3 linked regions of the Neurospora crassa OR74A genome follow. The protein of the gene in region 2 interacts with the protein of the main gene of each other region in a pairwise test. Links are inferred from orthologs where the notes say so. Each region holds a gene or a part of one and is shown on either strand. Other genes may lie near its edges.

Region 1 (7,336 bases), on a different chromosome or scaffold from region 2:
TCGGCAGGCGTGTCTGGCTGTCCTGCGTCTCGGTGTTGCGGGTGGAGTAAGGGCTTTTGCGACGATGCAGTGGGATGGAATGTCGATGACAGCGGCAGGTGGGGACGACAAGGAAGGAGTCAGACCAAAGATCTGAGCGGGAGATGTGATCTCTGCGAAAGTTGCAAAGCCGAAGCGACTGGATGTCGATGTGGGAGCTTGTAGGTGTAGTTAGATCCCAGGCTTGAACCAAGCAAGCGACAAGATAGATGTTCTCGGGCCCAACCAATACGTATCGCGACGGGGTGACTGTAGTGCGACCTGACCGTCACTATTACCATCCAACAACCTTGATGGCGGGAGAGATGTCTGAGTGGAGGAACCCCAGGGTCCAGTGCAGCTGAAGTGGATTGCAAGACGACGACTGGAGTCTGGTCCGGGGTGCCATTCAGTGGGTGTGTGTTAGGTATGCAACGTGTAGCGGTCCGCCACTCAGATCGCAAGAACGAACACGTCTTACAGGCAAGATGAAGCAGTCAACCAGAAGCAGGAGGCGACAGAAGCGCTGGCAAATTGGCGGCAGTTGATTTCCACTTGCGTTCGCTGCTGTTGCGAATTCATTGGCTCGATCACCACCAGAAAACTGAAAACCCAAGAACCTCGGGGTTTCGAACTCCCAAAGGAGGAAAATGTCCAAGTAGCAATATGATGTCCAAGAAAAAATATGTGCTGCGATGCGAAACCAGGCGGCAGGTGACAAGCGGGAAGAGAAATTGCTGGACACCTAGGTAGTTTGTTGGTAGGTGTGGTAGCAATGAGATGCAGCTAGGTTATAATATTCGCGGGAAAGCAAAGACGAGGGCAAGGGAATGACGATTTTCTGGGTCGAGTGATGGCGTTCTGCCGTCAACAGTCAAGTTGTATCTGTCTAGTAGCAAAACTCCACGGACTCATGCCCGCCTTGTTGGTGGGCACTCCAATGGCCCCGGGTCCGCTCCCATTTTCCACTTTCAACCTTAATTGATGAGGGTGGGTAGGTGGGTGGGCGGTTGATGGGCAGACAAAGATGAAAACTAGCTGGCGGTATCGGCCTCCCGCCTCCATCTTGGGTCGCTCGCTTGCGATTGTACCTCTCGGGGCCAAAACAACACACACACAGGTACAGCATGCGATGCAGTTGCCACCCGCGCACGCCGTGCTGCCAAGCGGGTTGATGTTGACTTCCACTTTGCAGTGCGGGATTGGGAGAAGCGCTGCCGAGCCAAAGCATGCAGTTTGGCGGTGTCGACGGAAGCTTCAGGGGTTCGATAGAGCTTATCGCGGTGGAGATCCTTCACGTCAGTAGCCCCACCGAGGTAACTTCCACTTCCATCTCGAGTGACCCTTCCCGATCCGTCGCACATGCCAGGAACGTCGACGACGAAGGGCTCCAGGATGGACCGAGTTTCACGAAGCATTTTGTACTACTTGGATTTACCATAAACTGAAGCCATTTCGCATTGGATGTGTCTCGGAAGGAAAGTCTACCCCGCGTTACTCGTCAAGCGAAAAGTTACACAGCATAACCGGTCTACCGCCAATAAGAGCCAAAAGTCGGAGAGTTGGATCGATTAACTTCTTACTTTGACATGTGCGGACCTTGTTACTGCTTTAAAGTTGGTAGCCCAACCTTTTGTCACTTGATCAATCGTGATTCAAGACCAGCCATGGCAGGTCTCTCTTCACATAGAGGTACGAATCGAATTTGTTGTACGAATCGTACAGCGGCATGCTTTTGGTGTGCTTCGTAATGAGATGTCGGTGTTCCATCACTCGGTCTCCGCCTGGCAACTGCATCGGATATCTTGCCTCACACTGCTTGGTTGGTCATCATCAATAGCTGACACAAACAGCCATGACGACTCTTAGGTTCGGGGGCCAGTGGGGCGATTGGTCGATAATGTATACGATTGTGCCAGTCCCGAAGTTATCCATGTTAAATCCAGTTTCAAGAAACCCATCTGCGCCGCCAATAGATAGAAAAGAACGCCTTTATAAAACGCCGCATTATCCCACAAAATCTCTCCTTTCCATGAGTAAGGATATATCAAACTCGGGGTATTCGTTCGTGTCGGAAGATTAAATGGGCTTGATCTTGAAGTGCAAGGCAATGAGACTGAACACCAGCGCCTTGAGGTCCTGAACGAGGTAGTAGAAGACGCGCAAGCCTTCTGGGTCGGCCGAGTCCGTAACATCGTTGATCGATCCGATCTTGGCAGTCTATTTCCTGTATTAGCTCTGAACATTTTGCAGAAATAGATTCCGACACTGGCAAGACGCACCTCGAATGAAATGTGGTCGTTCCCGAGGCGGATCTCCAACTCCTGCTTTCCGTCTTTGTTTTTGGTCGGCCATTTCTCGTCGTCTTCCCTGTTGGCCTGTCAGCAGCCGCTCCATGTTGTTTGTATAAAAGGGTGAACATGATGTCGTACTTCATAATCTCGCTGTCCTTGATGATGCGCTTGATCTCGTCAATGACCAGAGAGCTGACGCACACTAAAAGAGACCCTCGTCAGTATATGGATGTCCACGGCCGGCTAAACAGTGTTTCCTACTCTCTTTCCTGATCAGACTGTCGTTACGGTAGTTGGAGTTGTTGGCATATCGGGCAGTGGCGCTACGTCCGTCGCCGAGGACGCGAAAGTCGAACTCTGTAGTCAAAGGGCGGTAGTTTAGCATCGTGGTCGTGGAAACGTGGGAGCTTGCGTCTCGAGGCGCAAATGGCTGAACACACCTAGGAACTCGTGGCCGAAGCGGCCCGAGTGGCCAGAGCTAAGCCGGCTGTTAGCATGGTGTTTTCAATGTGTGAGTGAATCGAATCCCGTAGGGGTGTACATACTAGTAGCGCAGATAGAAGGGTTCGTTGGCGGCTGACATGGCTGTTTGTTGCTTCTGTCAGTAGTAGGCTTTGCAAGACAAGAGGCAGAGATGCAGCCAGCGGCTTGGTTCCTGTCGCTTTTGGATGGACAACCTTGAAAGTCGCGCCCGCGCGGCCACGCTCCAGTGACATTGGCGGGGCACACGGCCCCACACTTGACCCCAGCTTGGCCCAGGGGCATTGTTTGGGCTCCAAGCTGACTCCGGGTTCACGAGCCTTCCTGACAGCTGGCAATCCGTATCTACACGTGATCCTTCGACTGTTTGGACAAGCTGGCAGATGGCAGACTCGGCCAGGAGATGGAGGCTTGGTGAGGCCGTAAGGGTGTCGGGGGGTCCGTGCTTCGCCGTGTGCTGTTGCGGCCGGCCAGAATGCCACATCTCCCAGGGGCCGTCTCTCGATAGAATTGACCGTCCTATCCACGCTGGCTCTTCCAGACTTCAACAACAAGCACAGGTGATGCTCCGCTCTCTCACCTCGCCGGCGCACTCCAGACAACCCTTTCATTGCGCAGCCGTCTCTTGATTTTCGGCCAACCACGACCCTGTCAGTCCAGGGGGAGGAAACCACATCCAGCACCAAGGCCAGCTCATCGTCACTCTTCAGGAGCTCGAGGCAGCCACTCAGTCCATCCATTTACTAGCACCACGCAACCTACAACGGGGCAAACAACACCTTACCACACCCGCCCCTCTCTAATTTCGATCCGCGACTCCTCTTCAGGACGCCCGGCCAGCTACTTTCTACCAAATTCAATCTCAACTTTAATCAAAGACGGCCCGGCCGCCGCCAGCTCTCCAACATGTCGTTCCTCGAAAATGCCTACAGCTTGGTCAAGGACAATGCCGTCGACGGCACCCCAACCGTGCAGGAGCTCAAGACGCAGCTCGAAAAGGGCACCGACGAGACCAAGATCGAGACCATGAAGCGCATTCTTACCATCATGCTCAATGGCGATCCCATGCCCCAATTGCTCATGCACATTATCCGATTCGTAATGCCTTCTAAATCCAAGCCCCTGAAGAAGCTTCTATACTTCTACTATGAGATCTGCCCCAAGCTTGATGCCCAAGGGAAGCTCAAGCAGGAGTTCATCCTAGTATGGTAAGGCATTCCGTGTCCGTCTGGGCATGCTGGCCCCTCCAAGCTGACCAGCCATTGCCTCGCAGTAACGGCATCCGAAACGACTTGCAACACCCGAACGAGTACATCCGAGGCAACACGCTGCGCTTCCTGTGCAAGCTGCGGGAGGCCGAACTTCTCGAGCCTTTGCTCTCCTCAGCCCGGGGCTGTCTCGAACATCGCCATGCCTATGTCCGAAAGAACGCCGTCTTTGCTGTCGCTTCCATTTACCAGCACTCCCCGTCGCTTATTCCCGATGCTGCGGACTTGATCTCCACGTTCCTCGAAGGCGAAAGCGACCCAACCTGCAAGCGGAATGGCTTCGCCGCCCTTGCCAGCATCGACCACGACAAGGCTCTTCTCTATCTCAGCACCGTCTTTGACGGTATTCCCAACGCAGATGAGCTTTTGCAGTTGGCCGAGTTGGAGTTCATCAGGAAAGATGCTGTTGTCAACACCCAGAACAAGGCGCGCTACCTCCGTCTTATTTTTGACCTTTTGGAAGCTAGTGCCTCGACCGTTATCTACGAAGCGGCCTCGTCGTTGACGGCCCTCACCAACAACCCTGTCGCTGTCAAGGCTGCTGCCAGCAAGTTCATTGAGCTTGCGATCAAGGAGGCGGATAACAATGTCAAGCTTATCGTTCTGGACCGTGTCGATCAACTCCGCCAAAAGAACCCCGGCGTCCTGGACGACCTGACCATGGAGGTGTTGCGCGTTCTCTCTAGCACGGATATCGATGTGCGGAGGAAGGGTCTCGAGATCGCTTTGGAGATGGTCTCCAGCAAGAACGTGGAGGAAGTCGTGCTTTTGCTCAAGAAGGAGCTGTCCAAGACGGTTGACCAGGAGTACGAGAAGAACAACGAGTACCGCCAGCTTCTTATCCACTCCATCCATCAATGCGCTATCAAGTTCTCCGAAGTCGCCGCTAGCGTCGTCGGCTTGCTCATGGACTTTATTGCCGATTTCAACAACAACTCCGCCGTTGATGTTATTAACTTTGTCAAGGAGGTCGTCGAGAAGTTCCCTCAGCTCAGGCCAGCAATCATTGCGAGACTGGTAGATACCCTGAGTGAAGTCCGCGCTGGTAAGATCTACCGCGGTATTCTCTGGATTATCGGCGAGTACTCGCTTGAGGAGAAGGATATCAGGGACGCATGGAAGAGAATTCGGGCAAGCCTGGGTGAGATCCCGATCTTGGCATCCGAGCAACGGTTGCTGGATAATGTTGATGGTGATGCCGAGGAGAAGGAGAAGGAGCAGGTCAATGGCTCAAGGGCAGCGCCGACTGGCTCACGCAAGGTCCTTGCTGACGGCACATACGCTACCGAGACTGCCCTTACCAGCCAGTCTACAGCTGCTGCACGCCTGGAGGCTGTCAAGGCTTCGTCGAAGCCCCCTCTCAGGCAACTTATCCTTGACGGCGATTACTACCTTGCCACTGTTCTCGCATCGACCCTTACCAAGCTTGTCATGCGTCATGCCGAGATCTCCTCGGAAGAGGCTCGCACGAACGCCCTCCGCGCTGAGGCTATGCTCATCATGATCTCCGTCATTCGTGTTGGTCAGTCGCAGTTCGTCAAGGCCCCTATTGATGAAGATTCGGTGGATCGTATCATGAGCTGTGTGCGCTCCCTTGCCGAGTTCACCGCGCACAAGGAGTTGGAGACCGTTTATCTCGAGGATACCAGGAAGGCGTTCAGGGCGATGGTCCAGGTTGAGGAGAAGAAGCGCGCAGCAAAAGAGGCCCACCAAAAGGCAAAGACGGCCACCCAGGTGGACGATGTTTATCAAATCCGCCAGCTTTCCAAGAAGAATGCCACTGATGGGGCTGATGCTTTCGATGCCGATCTCGAGCGTGCCACTGGTGGAGACAACAGCTCGGCTGAGGACCTATCTGGCAAGCTTAGCCGCGTTGTCCAGCTCACCGGTTTCTCCGACCCTGTTTATGCTGAGGCCTATGTCAAGGTCCACCAGTTCGACATTGTACTAGACGTACTACTCGTCAACCAAACAACTGAGACCCTCCAGAACCTTACCGTCGAGTTCGCAACTCTCGGTGACCTCAAGGTTGTGGAGAAGCCGACAAGCCAGAATCTGGGACCCCACGACTTCCACAACGTTCAGTGCACCATCAAGGTCTCCTCCACAGATACTGGTGTCATCTTTGGCAACGTCGTGTATGAGGGTGCTCACTCCACTGATACCCACGTGGTCATCCTGAACGACTTGCACGTCGACATCATGGATTACATCCAACCGGCAACTTGCACTGAGACCCAGTTCCGCACCATGTGGACCGAGTTTGAGTGGGAGAACAAGGTCAACATCAACAGCAAGGCGAAGAGCCTACGTGAGTTCCTGGACCTGCTTATGGCGTCCACAAATATGAACTGCTTGACACCAGAGGCCAGTCTTAAGGGTGATTGCCAGTTCTTGAGCGCCAACCTTTACGCAAGAAGCGTTTTCGGTAAGTTTTCTCGTCATTCGCATAGCACTTTCGGAAATAGCATCGCTAACTTCCCTTCTCTTATTCAGGCGAGGACGCTCTAGCAAACTTGAGCATCGAAAAGGAAGGTGAAGACGGACCCATTACTGGTTTCTTGAGGATACGCAGCAGATCGCAAGGGTTGGCCCTCAGTCTTGGCTCCCTCAAGGCATTGAACAAGATTGGTTCTGCCGCTTGAACAGATTTTCTCTCCGGCTAGATGAGATGAAAAAGATGATGTATGGGGTGATTGGGAGGGTTGTATAGCGATTAATTCATCACTTGATATTCTTTTCACCGTTGTGGTTTGTTTCAGTTGTTGTTATCATAGTCTTTGTTACATTTCCACTAGTTGATGCTTGTGAGAGATTCGGATGAGACTCATGTCACTCTCTTTTGTATGCTTCGATTAATGGCTGAAATGTAAAGGGTTTTCGACATATAGTGTGATGGATGAGGAAGACAAAAGCAGAGGATGAACCCAGAAGCAGGATGAATTATCCAGATGGAAAAATCAGATATAGACACAAAATCAATCCTTGACAGAAAACCAGCCAGGTGTGATTAATGCCATCCTCAGTCATCAGTCAGTGGATCTCTTAGACAAGCTCAAACAGACACGCGCATTATTCTCATTCATATATAGTCACCCATAACTTCGTCCACCATCCCTTCCATCACTCATTTCCTCCTTCCACTGCGGTCTCTTATCCATTCCTTTCTCCACGGCATGATTATGCCATACGACCCTTCCCCCACCCAGAGCACAAACTTGGGTACAAAAGTAAAGATTAAACAGTAGTAAAAGTAAAAAGTAGAAAGTAATTGCT
Region 2 (6,897 bases):
AGAATGACTCCGGTCCACGAGTGATCCCGGTCTTTGTTATCGGTCCCGTACCTCTCTGGGCCTCGGGTCCCCCAACCCTCCGTCTCCATCCGTCTTTTCTCTCCCGTGGCGTTGCCGTCTCATGATAAAACTTTCTTTCCCCCCCCCCCCATCTTGATACTACTTCTCCTCTCTCTATAACTTCTCTTCATACCATCCCAACACCCGGTACCACTACGCTCCCAATAATTCAAAATGGTGTCCCATTCCGAACCCCCCAAGGAGGACCTTTCTGCCGTTGCCCTCGAGCACACCATCGACGAGGCCAACGCCCTCATCAACGGCACCTCCGATGTCCCCAAGATCCAGGAGCTCGATGCCTCCAAGCTCGTCGTCACCCTCGCCGACCCCAATGCTCGCCAGGTCCCCGACGAAGCGACTGCGAATGCTGCCTCCGAGACCATCTGCACCGACCACATGGTCACTGTCTCCTATAACGTCGAGTCTGGCTGGGGTGTCCCCGAGCTCAAGCCCTACGGCCCCATCTCCCTGATGCCCACGGCCTCCGTCCTTCACTACGCCACCGAGTGCTTCGAGGGTCTCAAGGTCTTCCGCGGCTTCGATGGCAAGCTCCGCCTCTTCCGCCCCAACCTGAACGCCAAGCGCCTGCTCATGTCCACCCTCCGTATCGCCCTCCCCGGCTTCGACCCTGTCGAGGTTGAGAAGCTCATCGCCAAGCTCGTTGCCGTCGATGGCGCCAAGTGGCTCCCCAAGGACCGCCCCGGCTCCTTCCTCTACATCCGCCCCGCTGTCATCGGCACTCAGCCCCAGCTCGGCGTCCAGGCCCCCAAGCAGGCCCTTCTCTTCATCACTGTTTCCTTCATGCCTCGCATGGACAGCCCCGCCGGTGGCATGCGCCTTCACACCAACCCCGAGGATATGATCCGCGCTTGGGTTGGCGGTTTCGGCTACGCCAAGGTCGGTGCTAACTACGGTCCTTCCCTCCTCGCTACCAACGAGGCCAGGGCCCGCGGCTTCCACCAGATCCTCTGGCTCTACGGCAAGGAGGCTTACTGCACTGAGGCTGGTGCTTCCAACTTCTTCATCGTCTGGCGCGCCAAGGAGTCCGAGGGTGGCAAGCTCCAGCTCCTGACTGCTCCTCTTGACGATAAGCTCATCCTTGACGGTGTCACCCGCCGTTCCGTCCTCGAGCTCGCCAAGGCCCGCCTTGCTGGCGAGGTCGAGGTTGTCGAGCGCCGCTACACCATCGATGAGGTCATCGAGGCTGACAAGGAGGGCCGCATTGTTGAGGCTTTCGCCGCCGGTACTGCCGTATGTTACTGTTTCCCCCCCATAGCTCATCTTTCCGCCCAAGCACGTACTAACTTTGCCGTTTACAGTTCTTCATCGCCCCTGTCTCCCAGATCCACCACCGTGGCACCGACGTCCACATCCCTCTCGGCGAGAACGACTCCGGCGTCTATACCACCAAGATCAAGTCCTGGATGAAGGACATCATGTACGGCAACGAGCAGCACGAGTGGGGTGTCGTCATCAACGAGGAGTAAGCCTGCCCAATACACCCACATAGCGATCTGATACCCCCCCTTTGGACCATCGACTCTAGCGAGCGAGGGATCTTCCAACTCCGGCCCCCCCTTACTGGATTTCTGGATTCTCTTTTTTTTGTCGCTGTGCAATGTCTCTTGTCATTTGATTGTTTTTGGAAACCAAGCGTTTGCTTTGCAAAAGAGTTGGGAAAAGGACAAGGATTATTCACACGACACTTGATATAAACAGGGATGAGGCTGTCGCTGGCCAAAAGAGGAAGAGAGAGCAGAATGAGGAGGCAAAGCGCGAGTAAACCTCGCTCGCTCCTTTTGCCTTTCATCGACCACTACAAAGAAGGACGACCGCCTATCTAGAGTGGAGGTGTAGAGAACTGAACAACAACAAAAAACAAAACGTACGGATGATGGTACCCGGTATGCATAGCATTCGCATATGCGAGTGCATGGAGCCATACGCCAAAGAGGATAAATTTTGCATTTCAAGTGCTTTCCAAAGAAGCGAAAGCAAAATTAAAAACATCAAAAGCATGCAGGGAAGAAAAAGAGCGGCACATTTGGGCGTTTTGGGTTTTCGACATATTCCCTGGAGGGGATGATAAGAGTAGAGAGATTTCTTCGTCTTTTTTTATAGAAGCGTCTGTATACCCGGAAGAGCGAATAAAGTTAACAAAGATTAACTCTGTTCCGTTTATGAAATATGTGTGGTGCAAGGACCTTTGATATGCAACACGGCTGGGAAGGTAGGACAGGCAGTTAATCTACTACTTCCTTATCTACCTGTCTACCACCGGTTAAATAGACATGAGGTCGTTTTAAGGCTCAGTCAAACCTTACCAAACCTTAGCAGTACTACTAACAGCGGCAATCACAGCATCGCTTCCAGGTTACACAGACATGGACATAAGACGAAATAACGGAACGTGTAAATATAGACGCTACCAACGCTGTGAAAACCTGAAAATTCTGTAGATCTTTCCAACTCAATCTCGACGTCTCACCCAATTTCTTCTACATCCGTCTATCTTTCTCTCTTTCACACTCTACCTGTCCTCCACAACCACCACATTTTGGTTTTTCTCCCACCTACAACTAATCATCACGCTCATGTCCCTTCCCACCCAACATACCCTCACTCGGCCCTCCGGCCCTCCTCCTCCTCTTCCCCCACACCTCCTGACACCAATCACTAATCCTGTACCCCCAATGACCCGCCACCAGCGCACCACTAATGACATTGACGACCTTGATGATAAAAACCAGGAAAGAATCCCGTTCCTCGTCGATGTGCAGCAGAATCGGCTCAATGTCGTACTTGACAAAGATGCCCGGGATGATGCGCTCCGTGACTTCCTGCGACTGCTCCGTGACGGCGTACTGGTTCGTGACGATGGATTTGCCTGACGACGAGTAGACGGTGGGGACGACAGAAATAAAATACTGGAACTTGTGGAAGTTGGCCGAGGCGATGTTGACGGTTTGGTCGAGCGGGTTGACGAGGGAGGGGAGAAAGGGGCCGAAGGAGAGCTCGGAGATGATGTGGGAGAAGTTGAATGCTGTTTTTTGTTGTTGTTAGTAGCTGTTGTTGTGGAAAATAGAGTTGGATGGTTGAAGTTTCGGCAAAGGTAAGAGAAAGAGAAAAGAAAACAAACCAGAATGATCCAAATGCTGGCCAAACTCCATATATCCATGTCCTTTGGCCGTAATATGAAAGTCGCCCTGGACCTTGTTCAACTCCAGACTGCCAAACACCCTACAGCTGTCCGGCGTCGCCCCCCACAACCGCGGCGTCCTCGCCCACTTGGCCTTCCGCCTGCCCAAAGAAACAATATCATGCACGTGCTCCTCCCCAAACCCTTCGTCATGCCCCTGCCCCTGCATGTACCCCTCGCCCGTAACCACCTTGCCCTGGGCGTCCCGTCCCAGCTTGTGAATCCCCTTGTTGTCGACCCAGTGCTGCCACACCGTCGGGTCGCGATGCAGCCGGGAGGCAGCCAGGATGCGGTCGCCGGCCGCGTCTTGCACGTTGATGTGGATGTCTTGGCACTTCATTTTGACGACAATGTCGAGGTTGATGTCGAGGGCGTGGGAGACGCCCTTTTCGACGGCAAAGGTGTGCGATTCCGAGCCGCGCCACCAGCGGGAGGCTTCGGACCAGAAGAGGATGAAGGAGATGAGGCCGACGAAGACGGTCCATTTGCCGCCGGCGGTGGTGCGGGTTACGTATTGGGGTTTGGATTTGGCTGTGTAGTAGTAGGTAGGACTTTCATGTTAGTTTATTTGAAGATGTATGAAAGCGCATTGGATGTGGGAGGGAGGGGAGGGAGGGACGTACGGAAAGCGTCAAAGGCGCTGACTATGCTCCCCTTGGCGCCAAAGGCGTCTTCGTCTAGTTGACGCTTCTCGTCGTAGCCGTTCATCTTTATGCGTGTATGTGTTTGTGTATCGTAACCGGAGTTGCGAAAAGGTAAATATGTCTGGTTTCGTATGTTGGATGCGATTCAGCACTGCAATCCGTGCCGGTGTTGTTGGTCCCCCTTCTTCCTCTGCCACTTGTCAGGGCGGCGGCGGCAACCCAAGCTGTCGGTTGGTGGTGACAGTGACCACTGTTTTCCGTTTTGAATTTCTTTTCGATTCCAATCTACAGCGGATTTCTGATCCTGAGCTACCGCATTGGTGTTTTTTTCGAAAAGCACTTTGTCGTCGAGACCCGATGGTGTAGTTCCGGAAGGACACAGCCGGCTACTGCTGCAGGTAGCTCTTGTCCTTTGGGGGAAATTGCGAATGCGCCCACTCAGCTAATTCGTCATCCGGTTCGCGAGGATTGGCTCGGTTCGTTGGACTAAACAAATCCACTCAGTCCCTGCTGTGGAAAGAAAGAGGATGAAGATTCAAGCTATGTACTAGTACACCAAACACTGAAGAAAGCAGAAGCAAGTTCTATGGAAAAAGGGTGGTGATCCTGGCGGCTGAAAGACACCGGGCGTTCGTTCCCTTGCATGGATGAGGTGCCATTCGGAGGACATTCATCGATGAGGACAAGTGGACGTTGGTCCCCGCGAAACGATCCGCCGTGGCTTGGCGTTTGGCCGTAGATCCCTGTGTGCCTGACAGGGGCCTGTTACGGGAACTACGCTGGAATTAGCTCGAGCATGCGCATGGCTGGCGGGAACCCGTTTGCCATACTTAACCCTGACCCTGACAGGCCTGCCTTGCTTTACCCCTGAATCGTCGTCAACAACATCACTCCGTTACCGTTACATGACATTTCGTCTGGTGTTAGTAACAACTTCTTCGCCGGCATTTGACGAGAATTCAGGATATTTTCTGAGGGTTCCTACGTGCCTGATTACAGGTCCAATTCTCTAGACCCTTTGTTTTGTCCAGTTGTCTTTCTTTGAATTTCCGAGCATATATCACGGTGCTGGTTACGATCTCTATGTATCTTTACGTGCTCTCAACGACTCCTATCACGGCAGTAATCCGTTTTCAAACCCGTCTCCCTTTTTGAATGTTATGACTCCGTAACTGTCCGTCCTTCTCGTGTACCTCATAGCATTGTTGGCCGTTCAAGGCTTGGTCTCTGATGTATTGGCTTTGTGTCCATGTTGTTCAAGGGAGTCCGGACTTTATGGATACGAGGTGTAGGCGTGGTGTGTTTGTACAACACTCCCATGGAAATCTAATTGGTTTAAATCTCTTGGTTAACATATCCAAGCGCTTCTGTACCTATCCAGTTAGCCCCCCATTTTGATGAAGATGACCTAGCCGTACTTTCAGTGTGCTATCTTGGATACCCGTGATGATTCTGATGAATGTTTACATATCGAAAATATGTTAGGCATGTTTAAGGTTGTTGGAACGGCTGTCTTTGAGGACATGTATCAATCCAACAAAGAAACAAGTCCTGGACTGTATCCGCAACCTGTAAAAGTCGTCACGTTAGAACAAAAAGGATAGTAGTCAGATGGAGAGCTTCGTATTGTGTTACACTTGATGTATCCTATGTAAGATGCCATACATTTTGACCTGTTAATTTTTCAGTTCCCTCTATTCGCTTGGAGAAGCACCATTTCAGGTAATTTCATCCATTATTGTTCGCGATAACAAACAATAATCAAAAACGGACGGGCAGACCGCCGCGCGGTCAACCACTTTCTTAAATCGTTGCTACTGAATGATGGAGAGTTTATCGTTGGCAGATACGGTACTGCTCATTGCCATCGATGCCATAGAACCCAATGGGATAATGCCCAGGAAACTCCTCAGGCCCATTGTCATATCCACAAACATCTTTATTGCACCTGCCCAACATCTCGTTGACTGAATCCTGACATTCTTTTGACGGGAGGTTCTGGCCTTTCTCGTCTCCTGAATGGATTCAAAAAGATAGCTGGAGGCAACTTTCTTTGACATCCCGCTATCAATGCAGCGCGCTCACCAGGTCCCTTCCTCTCCTCGAACAAATATCAACCTTCATCCCTCCTGCAGCTCTATCTGGAAGTTACCTCCCCACCAGCCATCGAAGCACTCCCGCTCAGCTGGGAACCCGGCATCTTCCCGCCTTCAGCTCCGTAACTCCTACGACAAGCAGTACCTGCCAAGAAGGTTTCCCCGCCGTACCTAAAGGTACCTCTTGCTCTACTTACCTTTCCAACCCGCGGAAGGGCTCCGTGAGTACTTTCTCATCCCCCACTCACGCAAGCAAACATACTCTCGAGGGGAAGGTACGACGTACCTGGACCCGCTCACTCCACTACCTTCCCCGTCCTTCCTACCTCCCTTCACCCAAGGTTTGTGTCAGATTTTCTTTCTCGGAAATTTGCCAATCATCAGGTCACGCTTCTCTCTCCTTCCATCGGTGTCATGACTCTCTCCCACGAAGCCAGTACCTAAAACTAGCAATTTCTTTTTCGCTCTGTCTCAGCTGGCTCGCCGTCGAATAGTCACCATCCGGTAGCATACCCAACAGCGTACACTCTACACACTTCCAAGGCTGGACGCGTCCAGAGCACACGTACTATACTCGGTGCGTATATTAACAGAAGCGCACACCTTTCTGCGTCACTAACAACTGATGACTAGCATTGCGCTATCCAGTCCAGGCGGTTCTAGTCGCGGATCCAACATGACGGACCGCGACAAGAATGGCCAATCGGCCGCCGACGAAGAGGAGCAGAAGAGAAAAGCCATTCTGGCAAAGGCCATGATGGATGACCTCGGCACTGCTCGCGTCGAAAACCTTCCGTTGGAGGATGTTGACCTCCCTCCTCGTCATGGTCGTCATGATGGCCGGGGACACTCTGGTCTTACTATGCCTCGACCTGCTCCCGCTGTGTCTGATATCTGG
Region 3 (6,936 bases), on a different chromosome or scaffold from region 2:
GTCGGTGGCCAACCCCCCGCCCAATGTGCCTGCTCAGACAATCTCCGCGAGGCCATGGAGTCTCTCCGCATCGTGCCTACTGACAACATCACCCAAGCGCTCTACACCGTCCGTACCGTCACCAAGACAGCGCACGAGACCATCCTCTGCAGCATCTGCGGCGACCCCCCTCTCGGTGGCAGTTCCTCCTCTGCCTCCAACACCGACACCGACACCGACACCGACACTGACACCAAGACCGACAACAAAAGCAACAACAACAACTCCGATGAGAACGAACCCCCTGACTCGGCCATCCAAAACATGGTCCTCCTCGCCGCCATACTCCCCTCCCTCTCCTCGTCCTATACCCTCCTCCTCGACCTCGTCGAAAAGGAGACTCAGTCTGCCACCTCTTCAGGCCGCCACATCTTCTTCGATTTGGAAGGCTACGGCGGACTCTGGGGTCCCATTGCAACTTCCTGGAAGCGATGCGAGGACATGGTCGCCCTTCTCGCCCAGCCGCTGCCCCCCGCAACCTGGCGCCTGATAGCCCGCGCCATGCTCAAGCTGGATGTGTACGGACAGGGCGGGGCGGCAGGGACAGCGAGTCAGAGGCCGGTGATTAGCTTGGGTGATGATGATGGTGGTTGTATGATTGGTAGCCGGGACAAGAGTAAGGGCAATGGCCTTCAAGAAGAGCCGTGCGAGAAGGTAGAGCATATCGGACTCAAAGATATCTTTGCGAGGTTGGAGGAGAGGTCGAGGAGACGACAGGAGAGGTTGGAGGCATTGGTGGCGAGTGGGGAGTTGGAGGGGGTGATTCCACCGATTTCCGGGGGTCTGGATGTCGGGAATGCTAGAGAGAGGTCGACGTCGCCGATTGCGTCGACGGGGATAACTACGACGCTGGCGGCGGCGGGCGAGGCGGATGAGAAGATGGAAGGAAAGGTGGACGGAGAGAAGACGAGGTCACCAGGTATGAGGATCATTGCATCTGCGAAGAGTGCGATGGACAGGTTGTTGATTTCCTGATCTTTTTTCCGTTTTTCTGCAATATTTTGTTTTTCACCTTCTGGGCGTTGTTAAGGGCTTAGGAGGGAGGGTACGGAGTTGAACGCCCACATAAGCGGAAGCTTCATTGTTCTCTGTTGCTTTGGTATGGCATGACAGTTATGTTACGTTCCAAGCGTGGAGTTCTGAGGTTTCCTGGTTTACTACTAGGTATTATTTGGGTGTATGGACATGGGGATGGTATAAATGACCCCCCCTTTTTTTTGTCGTCACGTTGGGTTGCGATTGGGAAGAAAGGTGAGCCTGGCTTCTAACAATGAAAATTTCTGATTGTTCACTAACGTGAATCTGTTGGTTCGAACGGTTTTGGTATGATACAATGTAGTATCTAGTGGCCATTATTACCTAGCTATTAGCAACTATCGCCATGAGCTTAGCTTTTTTTTTCTTTTTTTTTTTTTTTCTTTTTTTTTTTTTTTTTCCCAAATAACGAGAAATTTTAAATATATGTATAATATATATCATGATAATACTTAGACACACTTTTTGCACGTTTTCCACTGAGATTGGCCGGACAGGCGGGTTTGTATGAATCAAATTGTTGCGTACAGTACCTGTCACTTGCGATGAAAGGCTATGACATAACAGCAAGATGTCTTGGGGCAAGCTTGAACTATTTGAACTCGATTCTTTCAGGGATGCATTGATCCATGAATCCATGAAGTGCCTCGCAATTTTGGAAAGACTACTGGAAGTCGAATTGCGTGTTACGTGAAGGCCAATTCAGAAGTGTAGCGAATCCGACGTGTTCGGTCTGTATGGCCACGCGAGTAACACGAATGGAACTAACCTAGGCGAATTGTACTATCCTCGAAAGTATCGTATATGATCGTATCGAAGAAACGTAGTCCTGATTTGAGTGAGATCTGAAGCGAAATCTCGGTCCACTATCGATTCGATGGAAAATCTCAACAACTACGAAGAACATTTCTTTTCATCTTAGGACTATTTCGAGCATTGCAACAAACGCCTTGTTTTCAAGATTTCCACTATGAGCACCGTCATACAGATAGAGACAGCCAAAAGGATTATACGCCGCTAATGATCAAAATTATACCACATCACATAACCCATTCCTGACTTTCTCCTAGGTACCCGTGACGTATTTTCAACTCCCAAATGAGATTCAAATCACCCTCCACATAGCATTGACCGGCGTGGCGGGCCATACCCATCATGTCTCCATTTGCTCGTTTCGCTTCCAAACCCATGTAGACAACACCCTTGCTTGGCTCTGATTGCCGAGCTCGAATCAGCAAGGGATTCTCATGTACCCCTACGCAAATCCTTCTCCCCTTCACCTCGTCTTTCGGACCCCTTAGTAAACCTTCTTCTTCTCGTCAATGCTGAACTGGCCCGGGCCAGTGTTGGTGAGGAGCAAGAGACCTCCGACGATGGAGAGAATCTGGAAGAAGTCATACTTGGCGAAGTCCTTGTGAGGATGATGCTCGTGAAGCTAGAATGGCACACAGTTAGCAGCGGTTCGATTTAAAACAGAGCTGTCTCCGTTAGAAGAGAAATCACTTACAGTCCAGAAGTTGTTCACCAGAAGGTTGAAAATGCTCAGAATGACAACCAAAAGAGTAGAGCTGAACTTGGTCTTGAAGCCGACAACAACCATAACGCAAGCAACAAGGCCTACGAGTGAGACAATGATACGCCAGATGGTCCACTCTCCGCTGAAGACGAAGCCAATGAAGAGGAAGATGAGGAGGACACGGCCAGCAAGCTGGAAGTACATCTTGCGGTCCTTCTCCTCAAGCGTGGGGAGACCGGCAAAGGCCTTGGTCTTGCGCACCCATGAATCCGAGAGCACCATAAGCAGACCGCCCATAACAGAGAGATTGCGGAGGAAGAAGTTGAGGTCGAAGATGAGTCCGTAACCGAGCGCCTGGGTGATGACAACGCCGATGAGACCGCCGACGGCATACTCAGAGTACTTGCGGATGATGACGAGGGTGGAGCAGGAGGCCATAGCAATAACGTTGACGAGAAGGAAGAGGTGCGTGACGCCATTGGGAACTGTAGGATATCCATGGTTAGTAAATGCTTGGCTAGCTGTGCGCAAGGTGCAGACTAATGGACCCTCGAAGGGCACGTACTATGGCGGTAGTCGTGAAGATACAGCAGCTGGTCGTTCCACTGGGTCATGATTCTGAGCGCATCCTCGATGAAGGTTACGACAATCAAGAAGCGGCCAATGGCGGGGAGGTATCTGTATACACCACCGTTCGGTCAGCAGCAACACCCTAACGTGCAGTAGAAGACATCCCTCGACCAGGGCTGACATACGGCTTGATGGGCTCGCTAAAAGAATCCAGGACGTCCTCAATCTTGCTCGTCTGCTTCCGAATTGCGTCGAGAGGGCTGGACTCGGTCGAGTCTTCGTTGACGGGTCCTCCGAAAGGGCTCGAGGCACCAATGCCATAGCTGCCGGGTCCCCGCATTTGCGCCATTGCGTGAGGTGCGATCGCGTCTGGTCTGGTTGATCAACTGAGTATGGCGTCGGAAATCGAGACGTTGTCAAGCACAGGTGTTGCTCCTGGATCGCGAAACCAGGTTGATGTTGTTTTGTGGAGGGATGAGCGCCGAGAAATGGGAGTGATGACGGAGGGTTCCAGCTCAGGGTGACTCCAGAGAGCAATAATAAATGCGGGACCGAGCTTGTACAAGTTCAGGTTGAGAGTGGAAGATGGGCCCTCGTTTCGATTCAGGCGCAGCAGCTTTCGGATTGAGACCTGGTGGTGAAGGGTCAAGGTCCGACTGACAGCTGAAGAGGTGGAAGATGCAATTGAAGGCAAGGTGGATTTGAAGATGGAAGTGCTCCGGTGGTGAGGTCAGTCAGGTACCTAGGTTATTAACATACAACTGTGTCCTTAACCAAATGTCTTTCCGTGATTTCCTGCAAGTGCCTCATCGAGAAGCTGCCAAGGTGATGGGAGCCTATGTTACAAAGTACATACACTGCAGTAGAAGCCACGCCTTCAAATAAAGTATCCTCAAACGGAAATACACACAGCGGGCAACTGTGGGTCCCATACTCTTGGCCGACGGGTCAACCTTCCGGTGTTTCGAATTGCCCTGCCTGCTGGAGTGCCCGAGCATCCAAGGTCACCCAGCTGGACTGGCCTGTTGCGAGCGAGCGCACGAACCAACCGTTGTTTTTGGCACGGGAAGAATGGAGCCTCGGAAGCGATGGATCGCCAAAGACCCCACGCTGCGACTGGGTTTAGCTTTCTCGAATCTCGACTGTTTGGATAGTGCGATCTGATCCGAATTTCCCCCTTTTGGAGACGAGGAATAGCTTCAAGATCGAAAAAAAGGGAGCCTCATCGTCGTGTCTGACACTTCTCCTAACTCCTATTCACCTCGATCTCGACATTCAGTAAACATGCTACCGCAACCCCGCTGCAAAAAAGTCAAAACTGCGCAAGGGTCCTCCTCAATGCAACAGCCCGATCAGACTACACTACGAATCAGGAAGCTCTTCAGGCTCTTTTTTCACAGCCGAGCGACGATGCTGACAAGGTCGAGTATAACAGACAAGTGCAGGGGTCAATGCCTTCTCAGCTTCCATTACGGGCCGGCAAGGTAGTTCTCCGATCCACACATGCGTCCGCTAGGCCCGGTTCGGTGAGGAACGGGACTCGGTAGTTTGTCTTGTCGTGTCCACCGCATGGGAAGCATGCTCGACTCCAAAGGCACAACCTTAATTTGTCCCATTGCCGCAATCCGGCATGACGGCGACGTCGGCATCGAGTTGGGGGTCCAGGACTTGAGGACTAATTACGGCGATGGCGAGAGGTCCCGCTGGATTCCTTCTCACGTTGATTTACCATTTCATTGGAATATCTACTCCCTTTATCGGGCTCAGTTCATGGTACTTATAGACGAAGACATCTTGAAGATTTGAAAGACTTTAAGCCAGACCTTCACTTCGATGGCCTTCGGTGTTCTGAAGCGCTCAAGCTAAATCACTTGCAGCGAAGTTCTGACAGACTTACAACCCATCAACATTCAAAAGGTAAACCCTCTAGCATCGCCAGTCGCGTATTCTCGAATCCCTATCCCCTGCCGAACCAGAGTCTATCACTACTCAGACAACCACACTTATCAGGAAAAGACACCCACTCATACTCCAGGAAAAACCTGCACGCACCCCAAGCACCAGATCTGTACGGACTTGTTTCAGTCACACCTTCATCATGTGTTTTAGAACTGGTATCAAATAAACTAGTCTAGTAGGTTGAGTCCTGTCAATTAAAGTTGTCTAGCGTTTTTGAAGGTCGTAACGTGGCTGTGTGTGATTTTGGTTGCAAGGACCAGCGCCATGAATGTGATTACGAGATTCAACGGTCAGTTCAAGGGAAAATAGGCGCGGAAGGAAAAAAAAAAAGAAAAAAAAAGAAAGAAAGAAAGAAAGAAAGAAGGAGAAGAAGAAGAAGAAAATAGGAGAAAGGTAATGCTAGATACTAAGACCACGTGCGTGCTTATCGCCACATTTCATATCAATCCGACCGTTGTGGCTGAAAGTCATCGAGTATACTTCTCCAACTTGGGGTGCGCGTAAGCAAACCTTGGAGTGCGCGTAGCATCTCTCATCAACGATACCTACCTTACCACATTCACCCTTAAGCGTGTCAAGAAGGGCAAGAAATGTTGTTTTTTGAATTGTCTCAATTAAGCTTAAACTCTCCTCAAACTCCTCGGCCAAAAGGCCTATCAGCTGGCTAACCACAAGGGAGCGGGTCAAAAGAAGAAGCGGGAAGCATGGAAATCGAACAAAGACATACTCACGCCCCCTAGACTCTCTCTCTCTCCCTATAGCCCTGGGGCCTGCAGAAGAAAACCTGTTCAGAAGTTTGCCTCCTACTGACCGGTTCTCCGTTACTAGGCCCCATGGAACGTGAGGAAACAAAGGGATGGGGAACAAACGGGACAAGCATGAGGACGGGACAGGGCCCATTTCTTTGTGTGGTAGATTCCCTGACGGACCGATTCCCTGAATTTGGTGAACCGTTTCTGAGTTTGGTGTGGCTAAACCTTTGTTGGTCTAGATGGTGGTGTGCGCAGGGTCGGAGGGGTACCGTACGGTTTTGACTTGAATTAAGTGAGGCGTTGACTTGGGTTTGGAAGTTGGGTAAGTCATCTGTACGTAGGTATGTGAGGATGTAAGTCTCGAGGAGGAAACTCAATTGCCGTGATGTATGGTCGCGAAGGCTCTGATAGTAATTAAAACGACAATATCGAGCAAGTGTCCTTGATTCAGCTTGGGATACCAGAAACTAGGCAATCTAAAACATTGACAGATTTCCACTCAATAGCAGCCGGATTTGTTTTCAGAACGCTACCATCACGTAATTTGAGTTTGAGTGACACATGGCATAGGTTTGCCTATTGTCGCTCCCATTAATTCTCTCTGTGCCATTTATAGTCCTTCATTCGTTAAGCAACTGCCGGTTGACAGCCGCAAATTCAGATTACCACTCATCGCTTCTGAAACTGATTCTCCTCACCAACTGTCCAACCCTGTTTGGCACCTTCGTTGCTCCCGCTCTCATATTGCGGAGGAGGCGATCCCGGCATCGTCGACGGAGGCCTGACTGAGGTGCCGTCTCCGCTTGGAAGCTCAACCGGAGCTTGATAATTAACATCACGCGAGTGAGGAACCCTTGAAGCATGAATGAATCTTGGTTAATTACCTTTCAATTCTCATCTGTGGAAACATAAAACTTACGAGCTCAGTTCTCCAATCATGAGAGGCGAGTTGGGCCCGGGTACAGGCGCGCTCCCAGGCGCGGACATTGCGTGTCCGTTATAAGTATTGTAACCATAAACAGATCCCGGGGAGCCAGGGTTTTGCTGTGGTGGGGGAGTTCCATA

What was found.
Region 1: the proteins of NCU04293 (region 2) and NCU04404 interact in binary tests that used the Saccharomyces cerevisiae proteins (3 or more experiments, as listed by UniProt). The link is inferred for Neurospora crassa OR74A from reciprocal best matches to the Saccharomyces cerevisiae genes ERV41 and SEC26.
Region 3: the proteins of NCU04293 (region 2) and NCU03319 interact in binary tests that used the Saccharomyces cerevisiae proteins (3 or more experiments, as listed by UniProt). The link is inferred for Neurospora crassa OR74A from reciprocal best matches to the Saccharomyces cerevisiae genes ERV41 and ERV29.

Annotation. Positions count from the first base shown.
Region 1 is NC_026504.1:3,469,495-3,476,830, forward strand, and holds NCU04404 (coatomer beta subunit), read left to right. Parts: upstream 1-3,260; 5' UTR 3,261-3,698; coding exon 3,699-4,000; intron 4,001-4,065; coding exon 4,066-6,488; intron 6,489-6,556; coding exon 6,557-6,705; 3' UTR 6,706-7,060; downstream 7,061-7,336. Other genes in the region: NCU04405 (mago nashi protein), read right to left, coding at 2,098-2,238, 2,301-2,388, 2,451-2,514, 2,574-2,669, 2,753-2,790, 2,858-2,895. UniProt on the Saccharomyces cerevisiae protein: The coatomer is a cytosolic protein complex that binds to dilysine motifs and reversibly associates with Golgi non-clathrin-coated vesicles, which further mediate biosynthetic protein transport from the ER, via the Golgi up to the trans Golgi network.
Region 2 is NC_026505.1:5,523,091-5,529,987, forward strand, and holds NCU04293 (COPII-coated vesicle protein), read right to left. Parts: upstream 4,580-6,897; 5' UTR 3,968-4,579; coding exon 3,883-3,967; intron 3,791-3,882; coding exon 3,200-3,790; intron 3,104-3,199; coding exon 2,640-3,103; 3' UTR 2,450-2,639; downstream 1-2,449. Other genes in the region: NCU04292 (branched-chain-amino-acid aminotransferase), read left to right, coding at 235-1,311, 1,380-1,547; SAD-2, read left to right, coding at 6,676-6,897. UniProt on the Saccharomyces cerevisiae protein: Constituent of COPII-coated endoplasmic reticulum-derived transport vesicles. Required for efficient transport of a subset of secretory proteins to the Golgi. The C-terminal Ile-Leu motif is required for exit from the endoplasmic reticulum.
Region 3 is NC_026501.1:5,293,760-5,300,695, reverse strand, and holds NCU03319 (COPII-coated vesicle protein SurF4/Erv29), read right to left. Parts: upstream 3,925-6,936; 5' UTR 3,510-3,924; coding exon 3,346-3,509; intron 3,269-3,345; coding exon 3,156-3,268; intron 3,076-3,155; coding exon 2,582-3,075; intron 2,510-2,581; coding exon 2,372-2,509; 3' UTR 1,995-2,371; downstream 1-1,994. Other genes in the region: ada-4 (all development altered-4), read left to right, coding at 1-1,014; NCU03318 (hypothetical protein), read right to left, coding at 6,541-6,724, 6,791-6,936. UniProt on the Saccharomyces cerevisiae protein: Constituent of COPII-coated endoplasmic reticulum-derived transport vesicles. Required for efficient transport of a subset of secretory proteins to the Golgi. The C-terminal di-lysine motif is required for exit from the endoplasmic reticulum.